3 linked regions of the Caenorhabditis elegans genome follow. The protein of the gene in region 3 interacts with the protein of the main gene of each other region in a pairwise test. Each region holds a gene or a part of one and is shown on either strand. Other genes may lie near its edges.

Region 1 (11,787 bases), on a different chromosome or scaffold from region 3:
ATGCCAAAGTCACAAATTTTGACTCTCCCATCATAGTCAATCAAAATATTCCCTGGTTTAATATCCCGATGAATGATTTGCTGAAAATTAAATTTTTTAAAGCAATTTTTTGAATAAAAATAACCATTTTCTCCTTCAAAAACCACATTGCGTGAATTACAGAGCAAGCGATACGTCCTATTACAAACTCGGGAACTATTCCGCCTCGTTTCAGTACTTCTTTTTTGAGAACGGATGCACTGAGCGCCATTTCCTCCATGAAGATATGAATTTTCACGCACTGTAATGTGTGTAATTTTCGCGTATACCGTTTTTTTAGTGTTCTGAAAACATACGTCTTTATACTTGTGAACGTAATATCCAAAGAAATGCACAATGAACGGACATGGAGCACATCCATTGATTACATTCACTTCTCTAAGTCGTTTTGCCATTAATTTATTTGTTGAATCTTCATCTCCGCCTTGAGGTAATCTTACCGCTACATCCTAAAAAATATAAAAGTCACTAGGTGACGTATTTTGAATAGTAATTTCATTAATCCAAAATGCAGTGGATATATCATCGTTTTTCTATTAGGATGGAACTAATTCAACTCCTTATTAACCACAACTTTTAATTTAAAAATCTTTGTAAACTAACTTTTCTTGCAATAACCATTCCATTGTATATTAAGCGGTACACTGCTGATTGTCCTTCACCACTTCCAATTCTTACTCCACCATGAAGCATATCTTCCGGAACGTTCAGATTCCTACCAGACAGACAGATATAACCAAGAGCACCGTTTTTCAACACCTCGGGAATTGTTTCTCTGAGCGCTGGCAAATCCAGTTTTGGTCTCGGAACTCGACGTCCGAACGTCGGCATTTTTCCTGAAAAAACATTTTGTAAGGCAACCGACACAAGGAGAAAACAAAATTAAACTCTCATAACATTTTGTGATTCCAAATTATTACAGAACATATTTCTGCTAGTCATTTGAGGAGAAAATGTTACTGATAAGAAACTGGGTGTCACCAGTTGACAATATGAATGGGGTGCAAACAAAGAGTAATCGATAAACAACGAATTTTTTGATAGACGATGTAGGAGTTCCAAAAACAACACCAAAAACGGCTCTTTTTTTGCAGAGATCTTGTATGTGCCACGGGTATGCGTTTGAATTTTTTTGGGCATCGCGATGACCTCCGTTTTTTTTTAAGTGTCCCATGGATTATTGCTTGTACCTCGCCGCTAGATAGATGAATACTTGTGCTCTTTCTTTAATCTCTCTAAAAAGGGATTACCGTTTCTCGATACAAGCTCATTGATTGAGTATAGTTCGAAAATTGCTAATTGTCGTCATTTTGAGGTGGTTTATAATAAATAAAAATTTGAATATCATCGCTACAGTAATAACGATTTTTTCTCGTTCTGTCTCACTTCCAGGAGAGCTGACATCGGAGAGATTGTATCAGTTCCGGAGCTGACAAGAAGCCGTTTCCAGAGCAGGAATGGAAATGAATGCCAAAGGTGATTCCTTCAAACCTCATTTGCCAGACTACAAGGTATTTTCATAAGCTGCACTCTAAGATGCTCTGAAGCTCTTCCAGAAAACGCGTACTGAACTCATCTCTGCCAAAATGGAAAATCAGAAGTTAACATTTCAAAAGGAAATGTAGTTCAGTTTTTATGTGAAATCAGTTCCGCAATAATTCAATTTTTAAAAATTCAATTTTCAATTTATCTGAAGCTTTATTTTAAATAAAATTTGAACAAGTTAAAACAATGACTAGAAATATATAAATTATAAAACTATGGCATGTGCTGATTTTGGAAGTGGAGTGGTGAGCCAGAAAAGTTCTGAAAAAAATTGGCATTTTTCAAAGTTTTCTAGATTTTAATTTATCATCACGTTCTCACCACGTTTTATTCACAACTTTTACTGCAAGTTGAGCGATTTCAAGTCTCGAGCAAGACGTAGACGCAAATGTTGGAAGTTCGGAAGGATTCTCTGGGTGCGGAAAGTTGTTTGAAAAATGCTCGACGATTTTGTTGACTAGCTCAGCGTCGGCGGGCTCCGCAGTTTTGCAACATCAGCTTGAAGAAAATGGTGTAGATTTCGAGCATTTGATCCAGATCTGAAAAACAAGAAATTGGAGGATTCGGGCGATTGAAAATAAAAAATCAGAAATTTGACTAAGACTATGTTTCCACTGACGATGGCATGCAATCTTCAAGCAGGTCCCTCTTCCCAATCAACGTTGTAATTTTCTCCAAGTTTTTGATGCAGTCAATTTTCAGCTGTTGCCTTGCAATTCTCTCCCCTATGCAAATCCACGATGACCAGGTTCTTTCCTGGGTAGGTAGAAGGTCTTTGTGCTTCTCCTGGGCTATGACAAAATCGTGCTGGTGCTGCCAAGATATGTAGTTCATGGCTTCTTGATACTTGTCCATGAAGTTTACGTGGATCTCAAATTAAGATCTCACATCCACCTCTATGTCTGGAGATTTTTTGCAGGATTGTCTCCATAACTGTCACCGATTTCTTTACAAACTGATCCACATTTTCAGGCATAACTTCTTGAACCAATTGCTCCAAATTGTCCTTGATCGCACTTGTTTCGACAAGAAATCCTTCGAACGCTGCCTTTTCGTCGCGATTCCGTTGTTCGTAATTTGCATTATATTGATGTTTCTTTCTCCATTTTTCTTCAGCAGAAATTGGGATTCTGTTGTTCTTACGACTGCATCTTCAATGCAAAAAGTTTTTGCGGTCGAAAATGGTGATATCAAAGTTTTGAGTGGATTCCTTCAAGTTCGAGTGGCTTCCTTCAAAGGGTAAATGTCTGGAAAGTTTTAAAGTTGGAAATTGTGATAAGTAGGTGCTGGTTACCATAATACTGTAGTTTGGAGCAGCAGGCATTGTGCTCTTGATAGCAAGTTATAATTACTGTAAGAAAAATAAGTGAGAAAACTTTCTAGATTGAAAATTTTCAAGATTTGATCAAAATAGAAGTAAGAAAAAATTTAAAAAACTAGCAAGAAAAACTATTCAGAAATGTTGTTGCAAATCCGCCCCACGGACAACCGGAAGGCGTACAGTTAGCGTCTTTTTTTGGCGGTGGCGGCAAAATAGAAGGTGTTATTGTGTTTATGTATTTCTCGTCTAGCACCCTCTTACTTTTACACACTCTCTCACTCTCTTTCTCTTGGTGCCACTTTATCATATCCGGCTCTTGTGGCAAACTTACTTTTGATTTTTTTTTTCTTTTAAAATCCAATTATACCGTAGTTTACCGTACTCTCGATTTTCAGAAACTTCGCACAGTATGGCTTCATCACCAAGTTCTTCCTCCAGCCAACTCCGTAAGTTATCTCATAACAATTATTTTGAAAAGCTCTAAATTTCCAATTTTCAGATTAGGTGAGCAAAGTATCGAAGGCAGATTAGCGATGCAAAAAGTGTACCACACTCGAAAGTCACTTACAAATCGATAAAATTTAAGCAAAAATATATCAAAATTTTAGAGAAATTGCACCACGAACGTCGTCGGAAAGCGGAAAGTGAGGAGCAGCAGAAACAGAACAGAAACAAGAACAGAAAATTAAAAAAAAAACGGATTATCAGTAAGTTGTCCTAAATGAAATTTTAATTTAAACTTCAAATTTCAGAAATATCCCGGAGCCCAGTTGCAAGCCCAGTTGACAAGCTTGCAGCCTCCTCAAAAATTGAACCAGATTCTAGGAGCTTCCCCGATGATCGAAGGATTTTGTGGACAAGAATCGGTAGGTTATTGCTTTCTTAGAAAACTTTAAATGGTCCTTATTTTGCAAAATGATATGCGTTAAACTACCAATGCTTCGCAAAATAGAACAGCCATTAAAACAATTTACATTTTTTTGAGAACTTTTATTACGATATTCGTCCATTTGGACAGATTTTTAGTTTGTTCGTTTAAAAAACCCAGTATTTCTTTTTAAATCATACCTAGAATTTCTTCAAAAAGTGAACTGGAAGCAACCGAGAAACAAATATTATGCAGAGAAGAGCACCAGTGATGATATCAGACTCGTTTCAATTTTAAAAGAATGAGAATTTCTGAGAGAACACGAAAGTGATAATTTGCTTAAAAGTCTTCAATAATTAGTTGACACAAGGCGTGTTTGGGATCGACTTCAATTCATCTTCGGTTTTTGAAAGTCGAATCACGTCGACGAACCAATCCGCAACTTGATTGCATTTTCCATTGATCTGAAATTACAGTCAGTTTTTGTACTGAAAAATTTGCAAAAAAAAACACTTACAGCTTTGAACTTGTAAGCACTTCCACTGGCAGGGTCGTAATCAAGGTAGAAATCATGCTTCTGTAGAAAAACCTTTGTTTTAAAAATTTCTCCAACCTATTATTTTACCATTAATTGCCTATATTCAGGTCTTTCTCGAACATCCTTTCGCAAGCATAGGTCCAAGAATTCAATGAATAGAGGTGAAAAACTTCGCTTTGTCTGAAACATAGCGTATTGAAAACGTAACGGAAATTCCGAAACCTCTTCTCTCAGACTTGGTGATGGCAAATTCAGGTTTGCAATAATGGTGAGAGTTGTGAATTCCATGTCATTTAGTGGAAATGGGTAGAGTCCAGTGACAAGTTGGTAAACAGTGATTCCCAATGACCAGACATCGCTTCGAACGTCGTATTTGGAATTCGTCTGCAATTTTTTCAAACTTCATTATTTACTTTTAGACCTATTAACAGGAGTGCCCCGCGGCTCACTGTTGCGATCGGGACGTGACCCACATTTCGGGTCAAGATTATGTTTCAAAAAAAAAAGTTCAAAATTTTTTTTTTGACATGTCAAGCATGATCAAGCCGAAACTAGTAGCAGGGAACCGGGGCAAGTTGCGGGAAAAATCGGGCGCGTGGAGGGCGTCACCGCCACCGGCACATTTTTGTTCACAGATCAACATTCAATTTCATACCTCGATAGTTAATCTTTCAGGAGCCATATATGGCGGACATCCTGCACTTTTGGAATGAGCCATCGAATCAGTCATAAATCCACTTATCCCAAAATCACACAGCTTTACATTGCCGCTGTCATCAAAAAGGATATTCGAGGGTTTTATATCGCGATGTATAATCGACTGAAAATCCGGAATTAGTTGTTTAGTTTGTGCACAGCAGTTTCTCTTTAATCTCTTACATGTTTTTCCTTGAGATAATCCAGTGCACTAATCGCCGAGTAGACGATGTGACCGGCCACAAACTCGGGGAAAAAATCCAATTTTGAATGATAAATGCGACGCAGCAGCTTCTCACAACACGCTGACATGATTTGCATACAAATTTTTACAGACGACTGGAAATGGAGGAATTGGATATGTTAATAAGAATGTCACACTTACATCAAACATGAAATATCCGTAACTGGTGACAATGAACGGAGAATTGCACATTGACATAATTCGGACGTCACGAAGAATTCGTTTCAAATTTTCCTTATTGTCATTTTTGTACATAGTCTGAAGAAGACAAAGCTGAGGGAACCGTTATGATTCTGTGTCAACGTATTCTCTAGAGTCGCATTTATCAAACTACTGTTCTCACATTGAAAGAGGTTCAGAATTTTTACTGAAATTTGTTTTCCACCAATTTTAGAGGTCTCTCCTCCTCTCTAACGCATTTGCTTTGCATTGACAATTGAATCAAGAAAAACGAAAACAATGGAATTTCTAATGGTCTTTAGCACCACTACAATTTTTCGCCCCCGCATGATAACCCGTGAAGGACCCCTTCTCTTTTGAATTGCGTATGCAACGATTCTGTCAATCTTTTTTCAAGAGTTCATACTGGAGCCATGCAAGATTTATTCTATTCAAAGTGGTCCGGATGTGTATCTCAACCATACATCACTGCCTCCGTGTGAGGGGTAATGCTCACCTTCACAGCCATCAATTTTGAGCGAACCGTCGCAGATTCGACTACACCACAAGAGCCGCTTCCGAGCAGGCTGATGATGTGAATCTCGTTTGGGTCGACAACTTGCTTTTCTCCTGATAGGAAAAAGATTTTAAAAATTAAAGCTTTGATGTATGTCTTACCATCAATTTCTAATGTTCCCGATTTCTTGTACCCTTCTAGAAACTCGTATTCCAACGCATCTTTCTCAGTATCTCTTCTGGATGGCGATGGTTTCATGGAAAGCGGAGTAACTGAAATTGTATGTATGTAATAACTAAAGGTCGTTCTCCAGGCACACATTTTCTTTCCATGGGGCTTGTTAAATACCCAATGTTATTCGGCCGTTGGTGTTGAGGACTTGAAGATGTGGAAGAGCATTCTGTAAAACAAAATTTGAGGGAATTAAGAATGACAACACATACGTGTTTTTTGGAATTGAGCCGATGATCTCATCACAAAGAATAATTAGATGGAATTTTAAGAATAATGATGCCATTTGAAGGCTAGACACCAATATTTCAAGACAAACCTTTATGTTTTTGATCTACCGAAGTTGATCGGCGATCTCTCGGCCGTAGCCGAACCTCAGTCAATCCCAACTTCAAGAATTTCCATTTTCTCACCCTCGTCTCCAGATCTAAAATCAATTATTACAGACTCAACACGGAGGAAATGAGATTGTGTGTTTGGCGCTGATTGACACTTTGGTTATTTTTAGTAGTTTTTGTGGTACCTATTGCCCGAGAAGCCAAGTACTTTTCTTATCAAGAGGTATAAGTTCGTTGGCTACCTTGTTTCACTAAAATTTAGGTTACAGGTTGAAAATTAATTGCATCAGCATCATCTGGGTATCAGTCAATGAGCGGTTACCGAATTTGCCAATCGCTGAAATTTTCAGCAACCGGCAACCGTCGGCTGCCGAGGCCTTGGCGTTGTTCAAACATATATTTCTGTTAAACTCATATTTCAGAGTGTTTTTCGAGGAAAAAATATAATTGTTTTATTTACAGTGACGATATTCGCAATATTTAGGGTCTTTGAATGCGTATTTACAAAACAATTGAAATTAATATCGAAAGTTGCCGAAGTTGGCGAACGATAAAACTTTCGGCAGCCGACAACCGATGATTTCCGAACCTAAGGCTACTTTCTGGCAATCAGCAACTTGGTTGACCTGTTTTGCAGTTCATTAAATTTTCATCAAAGATTCTAAACGGAATATACATAATCTACGAATATTTTGCTACGTACTCAGCCGACAATAAACAAATATATGAAAAATTATATGTTTACCTCGTAATCTTTGCTGAAAACAGACATTCTCCATTTAAAACCAAGGTAGAGTTGACAACAAAATAAAAGAATGAAAGAATGACCCGTTGGCCGTCGTCGCTCGTTCCGAAATTTTAATAAGAAGACGTATGTGAGGTTCCTCGCGGCAGCGACAGCAGCAGCAGCACCACTAGCCCAATGTAGTAGACGAAATGGCAAGACACACACAGCTATCGATTCTGAATGCACAATGCTAGTCGAAGAAGCGCAGGGGCTCCCGGTCTGGCCCCTCTTCGCTCTCATCACCCACATCGTGGAGGAGGAGCCGTGAAGAAGGAGAAGGGGGAAGGCTATAAATGCACACACATACTAGTGAAAATATGCGGGAAGAACTGCTCCTTTCTTCGGCTCTTTCTCTCTTCTCGCGCATGTCTCATTTCCAATTGGTCCCCCCATCATCCTCTATTTCGACGCGTTTGGGATGCGTGAATCTTTGCAGCTTCAATGGGTGGTCCTATAAGAGAGAAAGGCTAAACGCTAATGGGCGATTTGAATGGGGGCAAGTTTGGAGGAGGTCTTTTTGTTGCTCATCTTCTTTGTGCCGGCAAATAGAAGTTACACGATGACACACAGACATGCGCCTCTGCACAAATCTCATCAGCGAGAAAATTGGGTGAAGCATGTTCTGTTGAAGACGATTCGAGGTTCCAAATAGAAACGATTCACCTGGTTAAAAATAATACTCCGAACAAATGTTTGAGTCACAGTTGCTTGTTTTAAAACTTGTAGACATTTTTGGCCACGTTTCAGAATTACGATTGTTTGACTATGAAAACAAAATTCAATTAAAAAAAATAGATTTACCACAATTTGGACAGGTTAACCCTTTTGGTGGGGGATATTTCAGATTTAAAATTATTTACATTTCAAGCAACCTTTTGAACTTTTGGTCAAGTCTCGTGTTCTTAGTTCCTTTTGCAAGATCTCACGTTTCAATACCACATTTCTTCTGATTCAGTTACTTTCACATTTTCCGGTCTGTCTGGGAGCAAACACAAAGTTCCGAAAAAGTCTTGCTCACTCATGCACATTTCAACAGCAAAAAAAGTTCGTTTATTGCGTTACGGGGTAATACATGTACGTGGCTTAGTTAATTTTGATTAATCCTTTCTCGTCTTCAGCTGAATAGAGCCCGAACTTTTTGAATTTTGCCTCGGTCATCTTTTTCAAATCGGCGTAGGTAATATGGTAACCCATGAGTCTGTCGAGATAGTTGAACCACGGTTGGAAACATGTCAGTGGTCTCAGATGGTGCATGTCATGAGCCGGAGCACCCGAGTAGAACCAGAAAATGCGATGAAGAGCAAATGGGAAGTCGTATCCAATGTGAACCTGAATTCAACTTTGTCAACTTTAAAGGTCAAATTTTAATACCTCATAAGAGACGCTCTGGGCGATAAAGAACCAAATCCAGTAGGTCAAGCAGTGAGTTGGGAAGATCCATGGGATAGTGGTGATGAATGTTCCAACAAAGAACAGCTGAAAAAACTTACTATTTTAGTTATAAATCTCAATTTTCAAAAACCTCAAATGGGTGAAGATGTTGTGCAGATGCTGCGAATGGGGATGAGTACATATGATGAACAGAGTGACACCAGCGGTAGAGCCATTTTACCTGCAAAATGTTGAGTGATATTACCATGATTTGTGTATAGGACAATTATGACTATCAGTGATTCATTCCACTGATAATATAATTTTTGAATCGCTGAAAAATATGTAATAGCTTTATGAAATTCAAACTGAAACGTGCTTAACGTTGGTAAAAAATTATTTCGAATCTTAATTTCAAGTGAGAGAAAAGCTGCTAATGAAGAAATCAACATTGATGTAAATTATGACGTCATAGCATAAACTAAAATGCATTATGTGACGTCAAAATATACATTTTAATAAACCTCTTTGCATACATGGATAACCAAATAATAGGAATCGTAAAAATAAACACTGAAACGTTTGCAACAATCAAAAAGTTCCTATCAGGACGTTTCGACAAAATGACAGGTTCCGCAATATGAATTAGTACTCGGAATGTGCAACGTTTTGGAAACTTTTGCCTAAACGAATGTAAACCTGGTGGAAAATTGGCGAGCTTTGCACAACAAAAAATTATTTGTAGCTGGTGAGTTCCCGATTATATACATTCAGAGAAGGTTTTGAATTATATTGTGAAACATGGTCTAATTAGTTTCAATGTAACTCGATTTACAAGTTATTAAAAACCGTGTTTTATGACTACTCCAATCATACTTCACACATGCAACCGTTGTTTGTTATCAATTACCTTGTGATTGATATAATGGAACCAGAAATATGTGAAATCAAAGGCCAGGAAAAATATAGCCAGCTGTGAAAGCATTTCAAAAACTGTTGGTGCCAGGATAGGAAGCTCTGTATCAGGTACCCAAATTAACTGGACAAGTGCCATCGGGTAAATCCACAGGAGCTGATTCCATCCTTGAAGCTTCAGTGACTTCTTTATCAAATCCCAGGTCACTTTTCGATCTTTTTGGATTTTTGCATCTTTGAAAAATGGAACGTTGCACAGAAACACGTCAATAACTGAAACATTTTGTAGTTTAATTCAATGTTATCAACCCGTGGTACGTGCTTACATGTGAAAACGGCTACCCAAGTGTAATCGATTGAGAGCGCATAGAACGGCGGGAAAAGCGGCGAGCTTAAAATGTGTTCATTTCCATTCTGGAATCGAATCATGATTTACAAAAAAAGGTTAGGTGAAACTAACTTTGATCCAATCCCATGCCGGTTGAAGAAATCGTGTATTCTTCTCGTATTCCAACTGATCAACTGTTAAATTTTGAACAGGGTATAGGTCTAACATCTAAAAATACCACACAATTGTAGCTCAAAATTCAACAGAATACAAAAAGAAACAAATAAATTGAAAAATAAATATGGTCTGAGAAAATGAAACTATGCGTCTGGTTATCATAAAAATGGTTAATGATAAGAGAGCAAGTAGAAGCCAATTGAGAGACGTATGATGATGGAAAAGTACTGAAAGCAAAGTATTTAAATTTCAACAAAAATAACTACTAGACTACAATTATAATTACCATTCATGGACATAAGACATACAATTTTGAAAAAAGCTCGTTAAAATTATTTATTTCCTAAAATACATGAAAACAGTATAAATTTATAAACACCCATAAAAATAAGTATGTATGTCATTTTCTTTGAAAGGTGTTAGATTTGTATAACCTTCAAAAGATTGAACGAGTAAAACCGCGTGCAAAATAACCGGTATGTCTACTACTAATCAGTTATCATCACCACTTGTAATGTCATTCTGATAACTAAAAAATTATTTTAAACACGTGTGAATTATAATGAACAAGAACTTTACAAAACACAGTGGTTACATCGCTTTCAAAAAATGATGTACAGGTACAGAACAAAATGTTTGAAATGTGTGTTTTGAGCAGTGTAATTTTTTTTCAATCACTTTTCAAATTTTTTTCTTTATGTTCATAGTTTTACGAAGGTTTTTTCTTTTTCATTTTTGATACTTCATGAAACTTTTCACGTGGAGTCAATGTTTATAAATGTTGAATGTTTCGAAAAACGTATTTGAAAACCTAAACCTGATAACCTCAGAATATAAATCAAGCCTAAAAACTAAGCCTGAAGATCTAAACCTGAAAATATTTATCATCACTGAGCCTAAAAAGGCAGCTTGAAAACAGTAGCCTGAAAGCATATTTCTTAAAACGCAGCTTAAAAATTAAGCCTCAGTTCTAAAGATTAAGTTTTTTTTTGGCTAGAAAGATGAAAAATGAACTATAGTATATTGTGACCTGGATATTGAATTTTTTAATGTTTGATGTACATTTCTTTCTAGTCCAACATTTTTTATACACTTTCAGGTGACCCGGATATGTTATTACTTCAACATAGTGCACACAACTTCCTTCACGGCATCATCACCGCTCATTTCCCAAAAAGGCTAATGAATTTTTTCCTTTCGGCTTCTTGATGTTCTTGATTCAACAACAAGCGCTTGCAATCATCAGGCAAGTACAATTTTTAATCAATCCTTATCGTAAATCTTTTTCACTTTACAATATCTTTCCTTTGGTTGCTCGGCTATACTTGTTGCTCAATTTTCAATTTTCACCTTCAATTTCACTACAGTTTTCTATTATTTTTCGGAATTCAACTCTATATCTTGACTTGCGAACATTCAAAAGTTCACACGTTTGCTTACAAACCGTAATATCTATTTGTTTTCATCTCTGAACATTTGGGAGGAAGAGTAGGCCAAAAGTAAATACATAGTTAGCCGTGGCAAGGTGTGTTTCGCTTTCATTGTGCCGCGTTTTTTGCTGCTACTGCATTTGCACTAACTATGAAACAATACAACTACAGTTATGAAGGTCAGTTTTTAGTATAAATCTGGTAGGAAACGATAAGGAAAAAATTGAAGGTTGAGTTGTGTCTTGTATATATTACTTAGAATTTTTTTTAGATTTGTTGTTTG
Region 2 (10,252 bases), on a different chromosome or scaffold from region 3:
GTATGCAAAGAACAAGGCATGGATGATGCGCAGTGTAAATTATTTTCCAAGGGATTCCAATTGATTGATAAGTATGTTAGCTTTAACATTGAAACTTATAGAAAAAATAAGTTCAGGTTCATGACATCTATTGAAAAGCCAACAGATGCAAAAGGCGGTGCACCTCCATCCACAGAACCACCAGTGACATCGATCCCCGATTTTGATGAGCCTACTGATGATGAGCCTCAAAAACCAATGATGGACGATCCTGCACAATTACAAGACGATGATAATAGAGTATGGTTTTCTTTTTCTCATTTTAGAACAATGAGAATATTATTAACAATTTCAGAAGCGCTGGGCGGATTATGATACCCCATCTATTACCCCGGTGATTCCCGTGCAAACAGCACACGGATCCAAAACGTGGAGTAGCAACCCTGAGACAAGTATGTTTATTTCAAGTAAGCTTTTCATTATATTTAAAATATTTACAGAATCATTACAACCGCTGGAAATCAGAAATGATCTTGTCTCTAGCTGGACTCAAATGCCATTTTTCGCGCCTCCAACTATTCCACCAGCCCCGCCGCTTGCTTTCAAATCTGTGCCTTCACTAATTTTACAACCGATTCAAGCACCACAGTTGGAGAATGGAATATTCTTCTCGACAGATAAATTCAATTTCCTCAAGGTGAATAACAACTTGAATTTTTAAAATCTAAATTTTTTCAGGACTTCAATCCGATCAAGCGATTCAGACGATCTCCTGATTACTACGATCAGATCGACGAAAAGAAGAAACCTTCAAAAACTTCTGATTCATCTAAAAAATCGTCTGGCAATACTGATGATTACTATGGAAACTTTGATAGTGACATAGATGAGAAAGATGAAATTGAAACCACCGGTCTGAAACAGTGCGTCCATTTTCTGGGACTTGGTGTATAGATCTTATCCACATATGTACAGTTTTTCTATCATTTCTTATTTTTTAAAATTTCAGTTGTTTGATTGACGGGTGTAATAAATCAAGATTCTTTTGAAATGAAAAACTTACTGAACGCAAAATTGGAAAAAAGAAATACTCTGGTTAATGGTCCTGTTTGGAAAATGTGTGATTTGATTTGGACAATAGGGCAAATTTGCATATCGATGTTTTTTTCCAAATCTGTTAGTGGAAGAACTGACTAATTGACACATTGTGACTGTATGTATATAAAAATTTTGATACTTCTGGTTTTTAAGTTTGGTTATGAGCACGTAACTGTAAACAGTTTTCTCATTCGGCAATATTCTATTTTTGAAAGAAAAACATTTTTTAACACTTTAAATAAAATTTAATGGCTGAAACTTTCGTTGTAAATAAATGTTGACAATTGGTGAAATAGTTCAATTCGAAAAAGTTTTGAAACAGAAAACTTATTTTTTAAAAAATCTCTAATTGCCTTTGGGATCACAAATGAATAGAAATTATTGAATTGAATCAGAAAAAGAAACAATTGAATTTTCCGAGTTTGAAATACAATTTTTGCGAACATTTTAAGAAGTGCAATCTCTTGAAGGAAATAACTTATAATTAAAAAGCTCAATGATTTACAGTAAAACGGTTTTTGAAAGAGAACTTTATCAAGCTGTTCTTTTCAAAAAATTTGACAGCAACATATTTTTTGAATACCTAGACTTGTCGTAGTTTGGTGTTTCCTGCTACACGGCGAGCCAGCAATTTTCCTGCCATCGAGCCCCCACACCGAGTCCAACGGTCGCAGACAATCTTGTACACGTGTGACCCATGGAGCGTAAAAAAGTAACAGTAGACTAGGAAGTGCGGTTGAGAACAAACAAGGAGCGGCATTCAGAGGAATCCTGAAAGTGCAGACGTTGCTTCTTCTTCGATTCCCAATCTAAGTCCTTCCATCCCTTGATGCATACTATTAAAAGAAAAAGGAAAGGTATGTGACGGGTTCATTGTTAGTCGTAAGAAGTGTACCAATTTGGGTATACCAATTCGTGCCAATCCAACGGGAAAAATAATAGAACGATGATGGTCGGGAGATGTTGGAGTAAAAAGAGAAGGAGGAGGAGGAAGACGGAATGTATACTTTTGAGATGATGGATATACATTGTGGGATGGAGTATAAAAATTGTTTGGTACGTGCAATCATAGCTGGGCTCCGTCCCTGCTCAAACGATTGTACATTTCCTTCCGTCTCGAAAGGTGTATCTGTCGACAATACAAGTAATTGAGCTTCCTTCTCTTATCCCATTCGACCCCACCCCCATCATTCCGTCCTATGAGACATTTTCTTGTCTTAGTCTTTAGACGACAACTGGCAACTATTCCCTAGTTTTTTTTTCCAATTTTAGATCTCCTTGAAACATCTTTTTTTATTTTTTCCAGGTACCTTGTCAAAAACCATTAGCAAACTGCAGCTCAAAACCATGGAAGACGAAGTAAGTCTTAGAAATGGTACTGTATTTTTCAAATTTTTTTCAGCTCGACTCGGATCTCTACGATCGTGTGAGCTATTTGAATTTGATGGACAAAATCGATACTCGGAAGAAGACATCGAAAGTGGGAAAGTTCCGCGATGAGTAAGTCCAGTTTTTGTCATGTTTTCCAGAAACATGCACATAAGTGACTTCCGGGAGAAGAAGTCTTTTTTGTTTGCTTAATAGTGTGCCAAGCAGTTGTCATATTCGGTTTTCATGGAAGTTTCGGTTTTCACGTTTTTTAATGATGTTGTGCTGTTTTTATATTCATTGGTTGATAGTTTCTGATTTTGAAATTTTGTTTGAAAATTTCCAAAATGTGAATCTGTAACTGTGAGGAAGTATAATTTTAATTTGTATTCCCCCAGAATATACTTTTTCAAAAAATACTGTTGCCTCAGAAAATAGCCAAACCTAACAAAAGTAAACCGGTTCACTTCGTTCCAAAAAAAATTTATTTTTCGTAATATCTAAAGATATATAAGACGAGAAGAGGAGAAAAACAATGAAAGCACTTGGGGCACCTCGATTTAGTGAGCCACCAAAAATCCAGGAAGCCTTTAACGCTGCCCCAACATAAAAGCGAGTCTGAACGAGGAGGTTGAGGAGGAGAAGCAGCACACAAAAAAGTCGAAGATAGCTTTCTATTTAAGAGCATTTTTGCTCCACCAAACCTTCACTCAACCATAGGATTATTGCTCGAAAAAGTGAGGTGTACGGCGTCGGTGCCCCCGCCAACCTTTTTTCTCTCTCGCCCCGTTGCTCCGAACCACCCCGATTAACCCGAGGTCAATTTCACTTGCACTTGAATTGATTCGATCCGAACTCTGATTCAAGTTGCAACTTACTTGTCTATTTCATTTGCTGGTTTTTTCAAATCTATTACTGTACAATGCATCGCTCAAAGTCCCGACCGGTATCTAGGATGTCAAAAAAATCGTATTTATATTCAAGCTCAGACGAAGATAATGGGTATCCAGTCGGTATGTCTTTAAGCATTCTATTTGCGTTTCCCTTGTGCTAATATGCTTTTAAAAAATTTGGAAACGGATGCAGTTTTTTTGTTGGAAAACACCTGAAATTTTCCCGAATTACTAGTTCCGCCACCATGTTTTTATTTTTACACCGCGCAGACTTGTCGAATCTAACAACTTTTGCCAAAACGTCTCTAGCCAGCAATTGTGAGGGCTCCTGCCAAATAAGCTGTGTAATTGTCGAATATCATAAAGAATGGGGGCCAAAGGACGAGCACAATAGCATTTTTTAGGGTGGGGGGAACTATTATTGTTTGCGGGGTGCCTCTCCTGCGCATTTTTCTGTTTTGTACCCATCGTGACTGGTTTGTAAACATCAGAACCTTTCACTTCTGGCACTTTTTCCGGCTGCTCAAGTTCCTGGCACCCCATTCATTCAGCTTTTCCCCCACTTCTAATAATATCGCGTCGAATTCTAGAAAATCAGTTCCATCAAGCACCATCCTCGTCCAGTAGTGGATTTTTACCACCATTGAACTCTAAAGCAGTGTCATGGATTGATATGGATGACTATACAATTCTGCCAAGCCCCGACGAAGCTCCATTTGATCACAGCGACGACGAATATTTCACCGGAAGACGACTACGGCAGAGAAAAGCACCCCGGACGGGAAGATCGGTGACAGCGTCTGAATCGATGAATCAGATTGCAGACTTTGATTTCAGGTTTAGAAAGTGTTGAGTGTTGCATCCTGTGCTTATGTTAATCTTATTTAATTTCACATACGCTTTTTTTGAATATTGATGAAATCGTTTTTACCGAGCTCAAGCAAAATTGAATGCAAAATTGAATCTTAATTTTGAAGGCTCTAAAAGAGGGTGTTAACTTATAAGATGGATTTCAAAAAGCAAATTCCATCGTAAAAGTTTTTTGAACATTTTGCAAAAGAGTTGATATTAGGATTATTGCTGTAAGTTGCATATCTCTCGCTTTTTGTTCATTATTTAGATATAATTGCAGTTACCAATCTTAGTTTAGCCATATTTTTAGATCGTTTGAGCCCCCCTCGAAATATTTGAAAAGTATTCAAAAGGTCTTATTACGTAATTTGACACTTGGATTCATTTTCAGTCGAGTATCTTCGATATGAACTTTAATTGAAATATGAACATAATTTTTGACTGAGCTCAATTTAACATAAATAAATTCATTTGGTTCGTTTTCAGTTCTGACGCGCCTTCTCCAAGACTTGACGCTTCAGAAGCCATGAGTGCTCCTCCAGATCCGGATATCAAGGTTCGAATTTTTTTTCACTCCCAAAAAAGCTTTTTCCGTTTTCAGCGCTACTGGGACAGCAGTTTAGACATAACTGATCTGAGTGGCCACGATTTCACTATTTTCAAGCAACTCCAAGGGATGCTTGGAATTGAGAACATTTCATTCGAAACTCTTGCTCGTTTCAACGTTCGTGTCCAAACCGACACCTATGGTCAACCTGCCATTCTTTTTCCACGGTATCGTGGAATGACTTCCCGGCTACGCATTCCAATGGGTTTGAAGTTGATCCGTAAAGTTGGAGACAGAATGGAAAAGGAGAACTATCCACTGCCAGATGAAACTTCGTAAGTAGAAATTCCGATGTCTTCCTTCATAGTTACCCATTTCCAGCGTTCGCCAAAAGTTCAATGGAGTTTTCGGGCTTCATATGGCAACTCTGTCAGATCGAAGTGTAGTCATTACCACAAATGAGCGTGATGCTTTGGCGATCTACGAAGCCACCAAAGCTCTGGTATTTGCTCTACCACATGGAGAAATTTTGGATCCACTCGTGCTTCCGTATCTGGAGGAATTTGACAAGATCTATCTGTGGTTCCCGGTTCAGCATGTCAGTTATGCCAAAGACTGGGGAAGTGCTTTGAACACCCTCAAATGTCTTCTTGTGAAGTGAGTTTATGGTATTCAGTAGGACTATCATGGAAGGCGCGGATTGCGGCGTAAGACAGGTGGCGTTCCGGAGCCTGCTTGGAAGCCCTAGTATATAGAGAACGTTCGGAAAACAAAACCAAAAGAGTAAGTTCAGAAACGAAGAACGCCCAATTGAATTGGTTCGTAATGGTGATCATCGGCTCATTCGGAACTCACTATCTAACTCGGTACTGTTGCCATTTTGTTCTTGTTTTTTTTCAACTTTCATAGTTTAGGTGGTTCGAATGAGAGAGCGTGGTTTCCGTTCAATGACAGATTTAGACATGCGTGAAGGAATCCGTTCAGACCTTCTCAACTCGACAAATCGCGTTGTTGGATTTGGACAAGTAAGACGAAAGGAAAAAAGATAAATTTCGGTCTAAATAATTTGTTTCAGTGGAAACGATTTGCTGTTTTGAATAAGTATCTTGGCGGGCTTCGGCCAGGGGAGATGACAGTTTTAACCGGAGGAACCGGCAACGGAAAAACTACATTTTTATGTGAATACTCATTGGATCTATTTACTCAAGGGGTATTTTAAATTTTAGCATTAGCTGAGTTTTTCTAATATCTCTGGTTTAATTCTAGGTGCGCACGCTGTTCTGCAGTTTCGAGATGCCTGAAAAGAAGATCCTCCATTGGATGCTTGTGCAATACGCTGGGTATGATGATCTAGTGTTTTTTCTATTGTTATTCTATTTTATTTTTCAATGGCTTGCAACTTTTTAACTAACATTTGTTTTTGTCTGCAGTCCTTCACATCTTCGAAGCCTCGCGCGCACTAACTCATATAAAAATGGCATCAAGTAAGAATATTTAGAAGTATTAGGATCTATCTGGAATAGTTTTTGTTTTTTCTAAATTGGTTTTTGAATATAATAAGTGAATCAAAAACTATTTCAATAATTTCCTTATGAAACCAGTAGCCAACTAGACCTGTTATTTATTTTATTTTACCACCTCACAGTTTTGAGTTGTAGAACATCTTCATTTCTCATTCACTGCTCATTTTGGTTACTAGCTAGTGCTTTTCGTGGTGCGCGAGGCAATTGTCGATTATCTTGAAAGTGTGTTTTTGCACGGTAGTTTGTTCAAGGAAACGGAAATGGGTATGTGGATGAGTGTTGGCATGCTTATTCTGATTGTGCCCAGACATCCGTAGCCCATACACAACTCCCAATCAATCTGGTTCAGACTTCCGCTGCATCGAGTAGAGTATAGCAACTCGATAAATTCATGGTTGGATAGATTCGAGAGATCGAGTTCGGCGTTGACAATGCTTGACTCCGAAGAGTTCATGGAGAAGTCCATAAATGAAATAGTCAGAGTAATAATAGTGGAGCAGGGTTTGAATCATAAAATACCATTTTAGGCAATTCGTATTCACGTTGAAAACAGTGGTATCCAACATGTTGTCATCGATAATCTCCAGTTTTTGATTAACCAAGGAATGATGGCAGATGAGAAGTCAAGTGGCCTTGATAGATTCCACCTTCAGGTTATTTCTTTTTACATCAACTTACAGTTTTGGTTCATAAACTAACATTACAAGAAATGGGAACATTTGGTTTAGTAGGAGAAAAACTACAGTGCGCCCAATTGCTGGGACCCCCCTTCCATTTGAGCGGTTTAGGGCATTTTGGAACTTTTTAATAGGAAAATAATATGGGAATCGGATTCAGCATTACAAAAAACCTCTGTGTCAACAATTGTATTCGGATATCCCAAAAATTGGGAGCAAAATGGCAAAAAGTTGAAAAATCGACCGCCCAACTGCTATCAAGAGGGTGTTTTTCTGGACCTCGTAAATATTATGACACTTCTCCAAAAAAACATTAACCAGTTTGTTGAGTATCATTACAAAATTTGTTCATATTTTGAAAATATATGTACATGCAAAAACCCAAAACCCTTAGTCCTCCTCTAAACATATAAATCTTCTTGAACCTTCGTTTTCAGGATCGATTTGTCGGATACATGCGTCAACTTGCTACTCAGAATCAAATTCACATCACTATGGTTGTTCATCCCAGAAAAACTGACGGTGATACTGAAATTGATGTGCAACACTTTGGAGGTTCCGCCAGAGTCACCCAGGAAGCTGATAATGTCATTGCTATTCAGCGGAAGCGTGATGATCGTGACCGTTCCAAGTTCCGAAAATTCTTATACGTAAGCTTCTAGTAGAATGATATGACCATCCAGGATTCTATTACAGATTCTGAAAAACCGCTACTATGGCCGACGAGTGGAGAGCGATCAACTTGAGATGGTTTTCAACCCATCCACCTATTCTCATACAGTTGTAGAGTTTCCAAAGTAAAATTTTCTTCTTAATCAAATTAATTTTACAATTTCTCCAAGTTTTTCGAGTGTCATTATTCAGTTCTATTTTTTAAATATATTTTTCTGCTTTTTCCTTTCTCCCTATTACGCTGATACTTGATGAAGAAATATACCTTTTCTCCTGACCCATTTCATCCACCTTCTCCCTCCGTAGGTCACATATTATTCTGACGTCTTTCCCTATTTTGTCCGATCTCGAAAACACTACCGCGAAAACACAAAGCTTCTGTAGTTTGCAAATAAATAAATTTTTCATTACTCGACGATGAGAATAAAAAAATGTTGAATGAAAGCGAAATTGGAAATCAAGAATCGAAAACAAAAAATTAATCAAAATTTGTCACATGTTTTTTCGTGGAGGTGCAGGATGAGGCGGAGCAGATGTGGGAAGTATCCGAATTTGTGGCTGTAATTTTTTTTTGTAAAAAATTAAAGGTTTTCTTTTAAATATTAACAACTTGCACTTACAATTGGAACATAATCACAGACGGTTTCATTGTTATCATGACCAACGGCAAATACTGTCAGCCCGAGAAGAATTACTATTCTGGAAAAAAAAAACATTTGAATATTTGAACAGCTCTAGAAAAACGACAAGAAGCTTGAATAAGTGGCAATTCTGACGAAGATATGTGCTAAGCCGTTACATAATTCATTGAGTTTGCGTGTGTTTAGTTTTGAGAAGCTGTCAAAAAGCGTTTTCAGGAAACAAATTTATTCAAAAAATGGGCGTTGGCAATTTATTTTTGGCTGGAAAAATTTCAAAAAATGGAAAATTTCGAGTTTTCAATGTTTGAAGTTATATGGAATTTGTTAAAAAGCGCTTTTGTGGGGAAAAATTTTAACAAAACGTTTAAAAAATTGTCTGTATTTTTAAAAAATTTACTGTCAAAAAAAAAGTGGTTTGAAAATTTGGCAAATTACCAAAACTCTGAAAACTTGTAGAGATGTTGCTTTATCATCATATCATCGTTATGATAATTTTGGGGCAATTTGAATAGGTATTTATTTTTAATATTAGAACATCATATTATGAGCCATTCTCCAAGAAATTTCTAGTTTTCAAAAGGACATTATTCTTGACCAGAGCGATTAAACAGTTAATTTGCGAAACTGTGTGTATTTGTAAAAAATACAAAGTTACACAGTTTTTTTTTTTAATTTTGAAAATGGTTTTGACAATTTTCTGAAAATTGTATCAGCTTCAAAAAGTTATTCAACAAAGATCAATTAACACACAATGACAAGGAATGGGGTTTATCTCACGAAAGTTAGCTCAAATTTAAAAGCACTTTTACAACCCTTCAGAGTAGCGAAAAATACATTGAAAAATATTCATTTTTTTGGTTCATTTTTCTTGTTCAAAATTTTTCATTTGCTGCTGAATTTTTCGTTGAAACTTGTTTAAACTGTCCTTTCAATTGGCAAAGACTTAGTTAGATCGGAAATCGAAAAAAAATTTGCTGAAGTGCTTTTCTTGTGAGCACTAAACGTTTGTAATTTCTCAAAATGTTTTGTTTCGAATTCATACGCAATGGACAAAAATAAAAAGTTTAATTGACTGTTTAGCATTTTTGTGTTTCAAAAATTCATATAGTTTAGTAAGTAAAAAACTTACATGGCCAATGCAAGTAAGAACGGTTGGTTAAATCCGAGTTGAGAAATAACGGCACCCATCAAGTTGGTTTATTATGCATCATTCAACCAATTCTGAATAAGTGATCAATTGTGGAATTACTCATAAATCTCAGCAATGTCGTAAATCTTGAGGTAAGTAGAATGGGACAAAAAAAGAAAGATAGACAATAAGTTTGGCACTATACCAAAAAAAGAAAGGTAATAAAACTGAAAGCAAAACGTACGGAAATCGACTGGAAAAATACGAGAGAAAAGTGCAGGCTTGGAACAAGATCATATTACATGGTAATACGCAGATGCGATTCGGTGAGGTCTTTTGAAAGATGGAGGAAATGGGTATAAATTTGATGAAACTTGATGAAAATTGTGTAAACGTAACAAAGAAAGAGATGGGAAAAGTTTTGAAGGAAAAGAAGAATTAATTGTTTACGTTGAAACACGCATTCAAACAAAAATAAAAGTTGGGAAAAACGGAAAGCGGTCCCCGATAGACGGGAAGCCAATCTAATGTGTTTATAAATGGAAAATGGAAAGGACCCTGTGCGCGTTGGTGAGTTGCCAAAACCTTCGGAAGTGAAAAAGGACAAAAAGGTAGAAAAGAGGGGAAAAGAGACACAAAAAAGTGTACGAGAGCAGCGGCAAAGTGGCTAGAGAGTCAGAGAAATTTGATTTATTTTAAGTGAAAGCTTGCGCAACTCTTTCAGCAGCGGGATTATTGAAAATCGCGCTAATTAGATGAGCTCTCACCTCTCTTTCTCAGGCCGTGAAGAATGTGAAGCTCATCCTTCATAAATGCTCGTTCGCGTAATGCACATGTCAGATTAGTTGATGTCAGCTTTGAGAGAAAAGAACT
Region 3 (8,027 bases):
CTAATAAGTGGAGATGGTCCGTTATATCATTGTGCTCTCTGTCATTTGTATCTTCTGTTTTCACGACGGATGGTCGTCTAGTTATTATGCTCTCCTTTTTTGTTTTCTCCTGTTTAATCTTCACTGTTCTTCCAAACTCATTTAAACTTAAATTATCAAAGTTGTTCGTTTCCTCTTAACCTTTGCACCATTCTTCTCGTAAATTCCAGACTAACCGAATGTTTTTGAAAAGCAATTTTTAATTTTTGTAAACATATTCTGCAATTTTTAAATTCTGTAATTTCCTTTCAAATTTTTAAAATTAATATTGTATTTACCTTTTAATTTTCATTCCAAATTGTGTACCCACATAACTTTTATTTCAAACTTCATTTTTATTGCAAGAATAATTTACTGTCAAAAATGTAGATTTTTCTTTAGAACAAAATTCAACTTGCATATTCCAAAAATGATTATTTTTAATTGAAACGAAATTTTTTTTAGCAATTCTTTCATTTAGTGGGGCAATTTACAAGAATTTTTTACCAGTTCATTTTAAATATTTCCTTTTTGTTTTTTTTGTGCAATTCCAAAATCCAAAATTTGTGTTTCCAATTGAAATTAAGATTTTCAAACGATTTCATTTACTCTTCGCCTTTATTGCCCTTCTTTACCCGTTCTCCTATCCTCTTACTAACATTAGCATTTTTTAGAAACTTTACGATCTCTCATTTACCCTTTGTAAAATGACATCTGTAAATACCCTCTCTGTGAACATCACTGTCCCAATCACTCGCACATTTGGAGTTTCTCAACCAATTTCCACTGCTCTCCCAAATGCGAAAGACTTGGAGCTGACGTCATCACTTCAAAAAACACTCAATCAATACAACAGTTATGAGCCACAGGAGGAGACATCACAACGAGTCAAAGTACTGCAGAAGCTCAATGGATGTGTCAAGCAATGGATTCAAAAGATCACAGAAGCAAGATACCCAAAGGATCAATTGTTCAATGCCGGTGGACAGTTAATGGCTTTTGGTTCGTATCGCCTCGGAGTTCATTCAAGTGGAGCTGACATCGACACACTCGTACTGGCGCCACGACATGCCACACGTGCTGACTTCTTCTCCAGTTTCAAGCAAATGCTCGCTAAGGATCCAGAAGTCACCAATCTGTGCGCTGTGGAAAACGCTTTCGTTCCAATCATGACAATGAAGTACTCTGGTATTGAAATCGACTTTCTTTTTGCTCGACTTGCCTTGAAGGAAGTACCTGAAGATTTGGATATCCTAGATGACGCTCTTCTGAAGAATCTGGATCAAGAGAGTGTGAGAAGCCTGAATGGATGCCGAGTTGCTGAGAATTTGTTGAAGCTAGTCCCAAACCAGGAAAACTTCTGCATCACTCTTCGTGCCATCAAATTGTGGGCTAAAAACCATGGAATCTACTCGAATTCAATGGGTTTCTTTGGAGGAATCACATGGGCAATTCTGGTTGCTCGTGCTTGTCAGCTTTATCCAAACGCGAGTCCATCCAAATTGATTCAGAAAGTGTTCTTCATTTTCTCCACATGGAAATGGCCGGCTCCAGTGCTTCTTGATTTCATCAGCAGTGATCGGATGGATTTGGCTCAGCTCAATCAATTAGTTTGGGATCCTAGAAGAAATCAATCTGATCGATACCATTTGATGCCAATTGTGACTCCTGCATTCCCACAGCAAAATTCAACTCACAATGTGTCACGGTCATCAATGAAAGTGATCCAGGAAGAAATGAAGGATGCATTGATCACATGCGACAATATTCAGAATGGAAGTTGCAATTGGATGGATCTTCTAGAAGAAATCAACTTCTTCAGTCGGTACAAGCACTTCATTTCCTTGTCAATGACAGCTGAAACTGAAAAGGATGAGTTGGCGTTTGGAGGATTCTTCGAGTCAAGGATCAGACAACTTGTGCTCATTTTGGAGAAGAATCAGGGAATCAAGCTTGCTCATATCAATCCAAAGAAGTTCAAAGCTGCTAAGGATCCAAAGAAATCAGTTTGGTTCATTGGTTTGCAATTTGATGAGAATGTGAAGAATCTGGATTTGACAAAGGACATTCAGCAGTTCAAGAGAAACATCGATTATCAAGCAAAGTCTGTGAAAGATATTGAAGCGAATTGTGCAGTGGAAACCGATTTTTCCTATGTGAAGAGATCAGATTTGGCTCAGACGATTTCTGTGAAAGATCTGAAACAAGGAAAAATGTACAAGAAGCCCGAGAGCAAGGATCCAGTCAGCAAGAAGCGGAAAGTATCAGAAAATGCTCCAAGTGTTCCAAAAAAGCAGAAATTGGATGTTTCCGAGAAGTCTTCAGTGGAATCGTTACTCAAAAACTTGAAGAAGAAGAGCTTAATTGTTTGAATTTCTCCTATTTTTTGTTTCTATTTATTTCTATTCATTTGTATTATTTTCTGGTGTTCTTAATTTCTGGTGTTAACAATTTCTATTATATTATGTTCCTAATTTCAATAATCTTTAATTTAATTTTTTAACTTGTGCTATTATCTTCTTGATTCGGTTGTAATACTTTCTGGTTTAACTATTTCTTTATTTCAATTTTTTAAAATTAATAAATATTATTAAAACTCAATTCAATGTGTTGGAAACTTAACAAATAATTGAATTAAGACGGAAACCAATTTTTTTGGTCAATTTTTCGAAAGAATTTGATTATTGAAACTTTAGTTTTAATGGAAATAATTGTTATTCACCATGTGCTCAAAAATATATCCAAAAATGAACTTAATCCCCGTGAATTTTCAACAAAAACATTTAGTTTTCAATGGATTTTGTTCAAAAATTTCATTCATGAAATTTTTCTAGCCCTTGTGATTTGGTTTTCATGAATGTTACATGAAAGCGTTTTCTATTTCAAAGCTACGGGGCATTTTTCAATTTAAATTTTATCCGACGACATCAAAAAACCGAGATATAAACCATCATGCACCTAGACCGCCAGATTGAATGACGTTGTTTCAGCACGAGAAATCTCTGACTCTAGGCTCCATCTTTTTTCTTCATCCCTCCCTTCCATCATCTTTAGAAACCTGAGGTTCTGCCCAATGTCTGGCACCTCCAGGCGCTAGCCAACTATTTCCATTGTTTGTTTCATCGTCTATGTCTCTATCGCTCTCCGCTTCCCCCAGCCACATGATTCCATTCTATGTTCGTATAGTTTCACTTTTGAGAGAGCGCTTTCCAATCTCCCCTCTATTCGATATTTTTTATCCATTAAAATTTGACATGGATCACGGAAGACGTCGACTTCACAGCGGTTCGACTCCGAGAGGAGGAGAACGTCCTGCAAAACGGGAGAGAATTTCTGTGGAAGAGCAGCAAAGTCAGGAGATAAGGAATTTGAAGAGAAAGTTGGAGGAGGCTAGACAGAGAGAAGACAAGTATATTAAGAATGAACAGTTACATCATACGGCTATGAGAAGCAAGCAACAGAGAATTGAGAGAATGGAAAAATCAATGGAAAGCACGAATAGGTTGGTTTTGGAAATACGTGTGATTGTGATGGAATGTTTTTGAAATAAACATTGAAAATTTTATTTTAATTTTTTTTAGCTTATTGTCCTTAACTTTGACAGCTTATATCTCTGTTGTCATTTGTTCTATTTGAAATTTGTCAATTGACAAAGTATTAATAATTTCTTTTTCTAAAATTTTGTAGTTAATAGTTAACTGATAACTTCAAAATGAACTGAGATATATCTTTTCAAAGTGAACTAGTGGAGGTGCAATGCTAAACGGTACACAAATTTTATGCACAAATTCAATTGTCAAAACAATTTGATGTTTTTTGAATTTTAGGTGATTACTTTAAGGTCACCAACTTCGAGGTCTGACTGATCTAGTTTTCAAACTGTTTGACCTACAGAAATTGCGGGAAATTGACACTGTAACCTCACACAAATTTTAACATGCGAAATATTATTTTCTAGGCTCATTGATAACATTGAGAGCCTAGTTTCATTTTTATTTTTCTAGATTTTCACAAAATTATACCTGTCAAAAGAACCCGATTCTAGAAAAATGTACGCCACACAATGCCGCCTGAATGACATGGAGAATATCTATGATGATTTGGAAATGGAGAGCAAGATTATGGCAGACTTTATAGATCACTACTATGATTCTCGGAATATTACTGAAGAGTGAGTTTGAAGAGGGTAGGAGGACGATTAGTGCAATACTCCACAGTATCTATAAAAGTTCTACGTAGGCACATGATGCCTCCCTGAAGACCTTTGTGGTAGCCTACTTATGTCTGTCTCGTACCTATGCAAAATCAGATAAATTTCATTCTTTTAATTAACTTTCATTTAACTTTAACTCATTTAACTTTTTACAAAGTTTGCCCCTACGTAGGCGGGCAAGCATGGAACGAACCTACATATCACGTTCAACCTAAAATTCCACATTTCAGGGATCGAGATGAATTGCAGGACAAGCTGGACGAAGAAGCTGCAAATTACAGGGATCTCGAAGACCGAATCAAGGAAGTTAGGCACCGAGATCGTTATATGAAAACTGTGGAGACTGAGAGAAAACGAACAACGTTCTATCGGAAGAAGATGCTCGAGTTGGCCGAGCAGCTGCAGTTTGAGCAGCAGGAGGTGACTGGAGAGACTCCTCTGTGGAAACTTTGCGAGATATGCGCGCATCAGTTTTCCCACAGTGATGAGTATGTACCACGTGTGTTGGGTAAGAAATGGCTGAAATGTTCACTTTTCTGAAATTCCAATGATTCAGTATGTGGTCACACACTTTGCACGTCTTGCATCGAAAAACTGGACGTTGGAGACGGAATTCGCTGCCCATTCTGCAGAACTTGGACCAATATGAAACGAATTGAAGCTCTTCCAAAAAACTTTCAGATTCTTCAAATGTGATTGCCATAATAATATTCTTTTGAATTATAGCTTTGAACTTGAAATTTTGTGTCTGTAATAATGAAGTGTATTGTATAGTGATAACATTTTCTAATTCGAATAAGGATTAAAGGATTAAAAACTTGGAAATTGCTTATTAATCAGCTGATATTTTTGACGATTTATGAGGCTACGGTATTTGGTCTCGACACGAAAAATATGATCCTTGAAGGAGAATAATAGTTTCCACGTGGTTATCGTTTGTACAACATAGTCTTACAGGAATCATTAAAAAAAGAAACTTGATAAAAACCACTATAGAACATATCAATTTTCAAATTTCTCTTGCAAAATCTCATTCTTGTAGCTTCAGATTGCAAAAAAAATCACATTTTTGCAAAAACTGCTTTTCCGCTTGCAATCTAAACACATCGAAGTTTCATCGGTGTTCAATAAAACTTTAGGTATCAAAAACGAAGTTATTTTTTCAGATAAAACCAAGCATTCAACTAGACAATTCCAGTCCTATTTCCCGGCATATAACATGTAGTTCTAGATCCATCCCTACTCGTGGATGGATTTATGGTTTCCCAAATAGGCCTGGTAGCCTATGAACGGAAACTCCTTATTCGAATATAAGTTTCTCAAGTCGATGATAAACGTTTGAATTGGTCACTGAAAGCTAGTTCCCTTCACCAGATGCTTCTACCATGCTCAATAAAAACATTAATTTATTTTACAGACAATCATGTTTACGAAAAGAAAATATAGACGCCGATACAATCAAATGAGTGGAAAAAAATTGAAAAAAAAAATTGAAATTTAGCCATTATAATCCCGACTTGTGTGAATCTACTGCTGATGATCCAACTGTTCTTCTTCGGCGGCAGGAGCTGCGACGGGGGCTGCTACGGCTTCTGGCTCTTGTTCAAGTTCATCTTGAGCCGCTGCTGGTGGATCTGGTGCTTGACCTGGTTGCTGGTGAGGTGGCGGGAGCATGGCGGGGTCAGCTGAAAATTGGAGGTTGTTGGAAATCTCTTTCAAAACTCAAAGTTGAGGTTTTCTGATTCAGAATATGACAAAAAAGTTGGGGAAACTTTGGCAAGACTTTGTTTGGGCCACGTTTAGGATGTTTTTGAGCTAAACTTGGGTGCAGCCTGGAAAAAGTTTTGCAAAAATTCGGCCCAAGAATTGCCAACCTCTGAAGCCTAATTGTTACAAACTCGGACAAAAATTGACCGGAGATACGATAATCCTGAATCTTAGAACCCAGAAGCCGGACGTCCACTTTAGTCCGGTTCACCTAGCCTAGTCTAGTGAGAGAAGGGTTACGGTTGATCTAGTGAGGACTGACAAGTCGTACAAACGTTAGCCTATTAAGGATTTTCAGCTAACTTACTCAAAAAGATTTAGCTGCGGAAAAGAAACTGGAAAACTGCTTCTCATGGAGATCGACTGGGGGAAGTGTCGGAGTACTGTGAGCCTTTACTTACCAGGTCCTTGAACTGGCTGATCCCCTGGGGCTGGTGGCTGGGATTCTAGTGATGGCCATGGTCCCGGTCCGATCTCGCTGCTTCCGCGGGAAAAGCATCCGCCCATTTTGAACTGAAGAAAATCAATTTTTTGTATTATTAAAAAAGACAGAAGTTGAAAAAACCAGAAGAGAAATATAGAAGAAAAACTGCGAACTGTCGGGAGAGGCAAAACAAGAGTGAGCGGCGGAAATGAGTGGCTATCGATCGTTGCCCTCTAGGAAGATGCGCGGTCAATGAACAAATTTCTGTTAAAATTCACGCGCCGAGTAAGTTTGATCTACCGAAATTTTGTAGGTCTAGACAAAATATAGGTTTTTTTGTTTTTTTTTAATAAAAAAAAACAACACATATGCTGCAAACTTATTTTTCCGCGAATGCAAATTCCAGACAAGATCTGTTGAGTTTTTAGACTGGGCGCAGGTAATCAGAATCACTGCTCTTGTCCCAACGATAACTGAACTAAAAGTTAGTTGCCTTCAAGCGAATAAAACGATGTACTAAGACTGCCCTACAATCCCGACTACTTCACCAGATGCTTCTAAAACTCTCAATAAATACATTGATTTATTTTACAGACAATCATGTTTACGAATAGAAAATATAGACGCCGATACATTGATATGATTGGAAGGAATTGAAATAATCGAAATTTAGATATAATCCCGACTTGTGTGGATCTACTGTTGATGATCCAACTGTTCTTCTTCGGCGGCGGGGGCTCCGACGGCTTCTGGCTCTTGTTCAAGTTCATCGTGAATGATTTCCACTGTTCGTGGATTTGGTGCTTGACCCGGTGGCTGGCGAGGTGGCAGGAACATGGGCTGGGCGGGTTCGGCTGAAAAGATAATTGTAGTGCGGATTATTTGAATATTCTTATTTTTCAGAACTCAAAATGTTTATTCTCCAAAATTTCAGATATTCCGGAATAGGACCAGAAGGTTGACTAGCTTCAGAAGATGGGAAAACTTGGGCAAAACTCGGGTGAGACTTTTTTCAGACCACCTCCAAGTTTAGCCCAAGTCTGATCCAAACTTTTCATGTGATTTTCTAGAAAACATTGGCGAAAATTGGAGAAAGCCTGAACAAAGTCTTCCCAACAGTGGGCTAAGTTTTGACATCCTCTGAACCAAGTCAATATTTTTATGTCAAAGTAGGACAAGAAGTTGCCGCCGAGTGCCGAAATAACCTGAAGCCGGGCGTCTCTTTCAGTCCAATTTACCAAGCTTAATCTAGAGATACTGGGACAAAATTCGAAAGGCCGTACTAAGAGCTTCGCCTATTCCTAGATTTCGAACGACCAGGTGTTAAGTTTCTTTTTCAAATTTATTGCGGGATAGAACCCGGAAAACGTTTTCCATGGCGGGGGTTACTGTAGGAGTACTGTACTCACCTGGATCTCGAACTATAGGATCCCCGATTCGTTCCACTTGTGCTGGTGGCAGAGGCGGCTGGAGATTTGGTCGTTGTCCGACCTCATTGTTTCTGCGGGAAAAGCATCCGCCCATTGTGAACTGAAAAAAACTCCATTTTAATAAATAATAATGAAGAAAAAAAGTAATAGCAAGAAGAGATAAGTCAAAAAAAAT

What was found.
Region 1: the proteins of F43G6.8 (region 3) and jkk-1 interact in a two-hybrid assay, tested with the Caenorhabditis elegans proteins (one large-scale study listed by BioGRID).
Region 2: the proteins of F43G6.8 (region 3) and twnk-1 interact in a two-hybrid assay, tested with the Caenorhabditis elegans proteins (one large-scale study listed by BioGRID).

The regions. Positions count from the first base shown.
Region 1 is NC_003284.9:5,364,153-5,375,939, reverse strand, and holds jkk-1 (Dual specificity mitogen-activated protein kinase kinase jkk-1), read right to left. Parts: upstream 7,473-11,787; 5' UTR 7,276-7,472; coding exon 7,242-7,275; intron 6,625-7,241; coding exon of another isoform or gene 6,605-6,624; intron 6,586-6,604; coding exon 6,478-6,585; intron 6,328-6,477; coding exon 6,247-6,327; intron 6,200-6,246; coding exon 6,089-6,199; intron 6,041-6,088; coding exon 5,928-6,040; intron 5,510-5,927; coding exon 5,393-5,509; intron 5,347-5,392; coding exon 5,191-5,346; intron 5,132-5,190; coding exon 4,967-5,131; intron 4,696-4,966; coding exon 4,534-4,695; intron 4,492-4,533; coding exon 4,399-4,491; intron 4,351-4,398; coding exon 4,291-4,350; intron 4,238-4,290; coding exon 4,130-4,237; 3' UTR 3,772-4,129; coding exon of another isoform or gene 3,658-3,771; 3' UTR 3,613-3,657; coding exon of another isoform or gene 3,514-3,612; 3' UTR 3,352-3,513; coding exon of another isoform or gene 3,315-3,351; 3' UTR 2,909-3,314; coding exon of another isoform or gene 2,879-2,908; intron 2,832-2,878; coding exon of another isoform or gene 2,204-2,831; 3' UTR 2,124-2,203; coding exon of another isoform or gene 1,906-2,123; intron 1,846-1,905; and 1 more. Other genes in the region: sek-4 (mitogen-activated protein kinase kinase), read right to left, coding at 1-80, 125-280, 336-488, 643-870; F35C8.8 (uncharacterized protein), read left to right, coding at 3,315-3,351, 3,514-3,612, 3,658-3,771, 6,605-6,624; F35C8.5 (Cholesterol 25-hydroxylase-like protein), read right to left, coding at 8,367-8,612, 8,655-8,759, 8,806-8,895, 9,565-9,842, 9,896-9,983, 10,030-10,125. UniProt on the Caenorhabditis elegans protein: Dual specificity protein kinase which acts as an essential component of the JNK signal transduction pathway. May phosphorylate jnk-1.
Region 2 is NC_003284.9:5,789,320-5,799,571, forward strand, and holds twnk-1 (SF4 helicase domain-containing protein), read left to right. Parts: upstream 1-4,011; coding exon 4,012-4,175; intron 4,176-4,278; exon of another isoform or gene 4,279-4,417; intron 4,418-4,486; exon of another isoform or gene 4,487-4,607; intron 4,608-4,676; coding exon 4,677-4,746; intron 4,747-4,791; coding exon 4,792-5,072; intron 5,073-5,118; coding exon 5,119-5,394; intron 5,395-5,530; coding exon 5,531-5,603; intron 5,604-5,651; coding exon 5,652-5,762; intron 5,763-5,812; coding exon 5,813-5,947; intron 5,948-6,003; coding exon 6,004-6,077; coding exon of another isoform or gene 6,078-6,104; intron 6,105-6,167; coding exon 6,168-6,221; intron 6,222-6,235; exon of another isoform or gene 6,236-6,379; intron 6,380-6,609; coding exon 6,610-6,742; intron 6,743-6,787; coding exon 6,788-6,913; intron 6,914-7,374; coding exon 7,375-7,587; intron 7,588-7,633; coding exon 7,634-7,738; downstream 7,739-10,252. Other genes in the region: F46G11.2 (uncharacterized protein), read left to right, coding at 1-71, 117-279, 335-431, 480-676, 718-933; F46G11.4 (Inner membrane protein), read right to left, coding at 8,102-8,167, 8,230-8,308, 9,380-9,438.
Region 3 is NC_003280.10:11,809,274-11,817,300, reverse strand, and holds F43G6.8 (RING-type domain-containing protein), read left to right. Parts: upstream 1-3,208; 5' UTR 3,209-3,272; coding exon 3,273-3,520; intron 3,521-4,063; coding exon 4,064-4,189; intron 4,190-4,461; coding exon 4,462-4,739; intron 4,740-4,787; coding exon 4,788-4,927; 3' UTR 4,928-5,007; downstream 5,008-8,027. Other genes in the region: pap-3 (Poly(A) polymerase), read left to right, coding at 726-2,390; F43G6.7 (Skin secretory protein xP2-like), read right to left, coding at 5,759-5,916, 6,400-6,505; F43G6.10 (Small hydrophilic protein), read right to left, coding at 7,119-7,276, 7,832-7,946.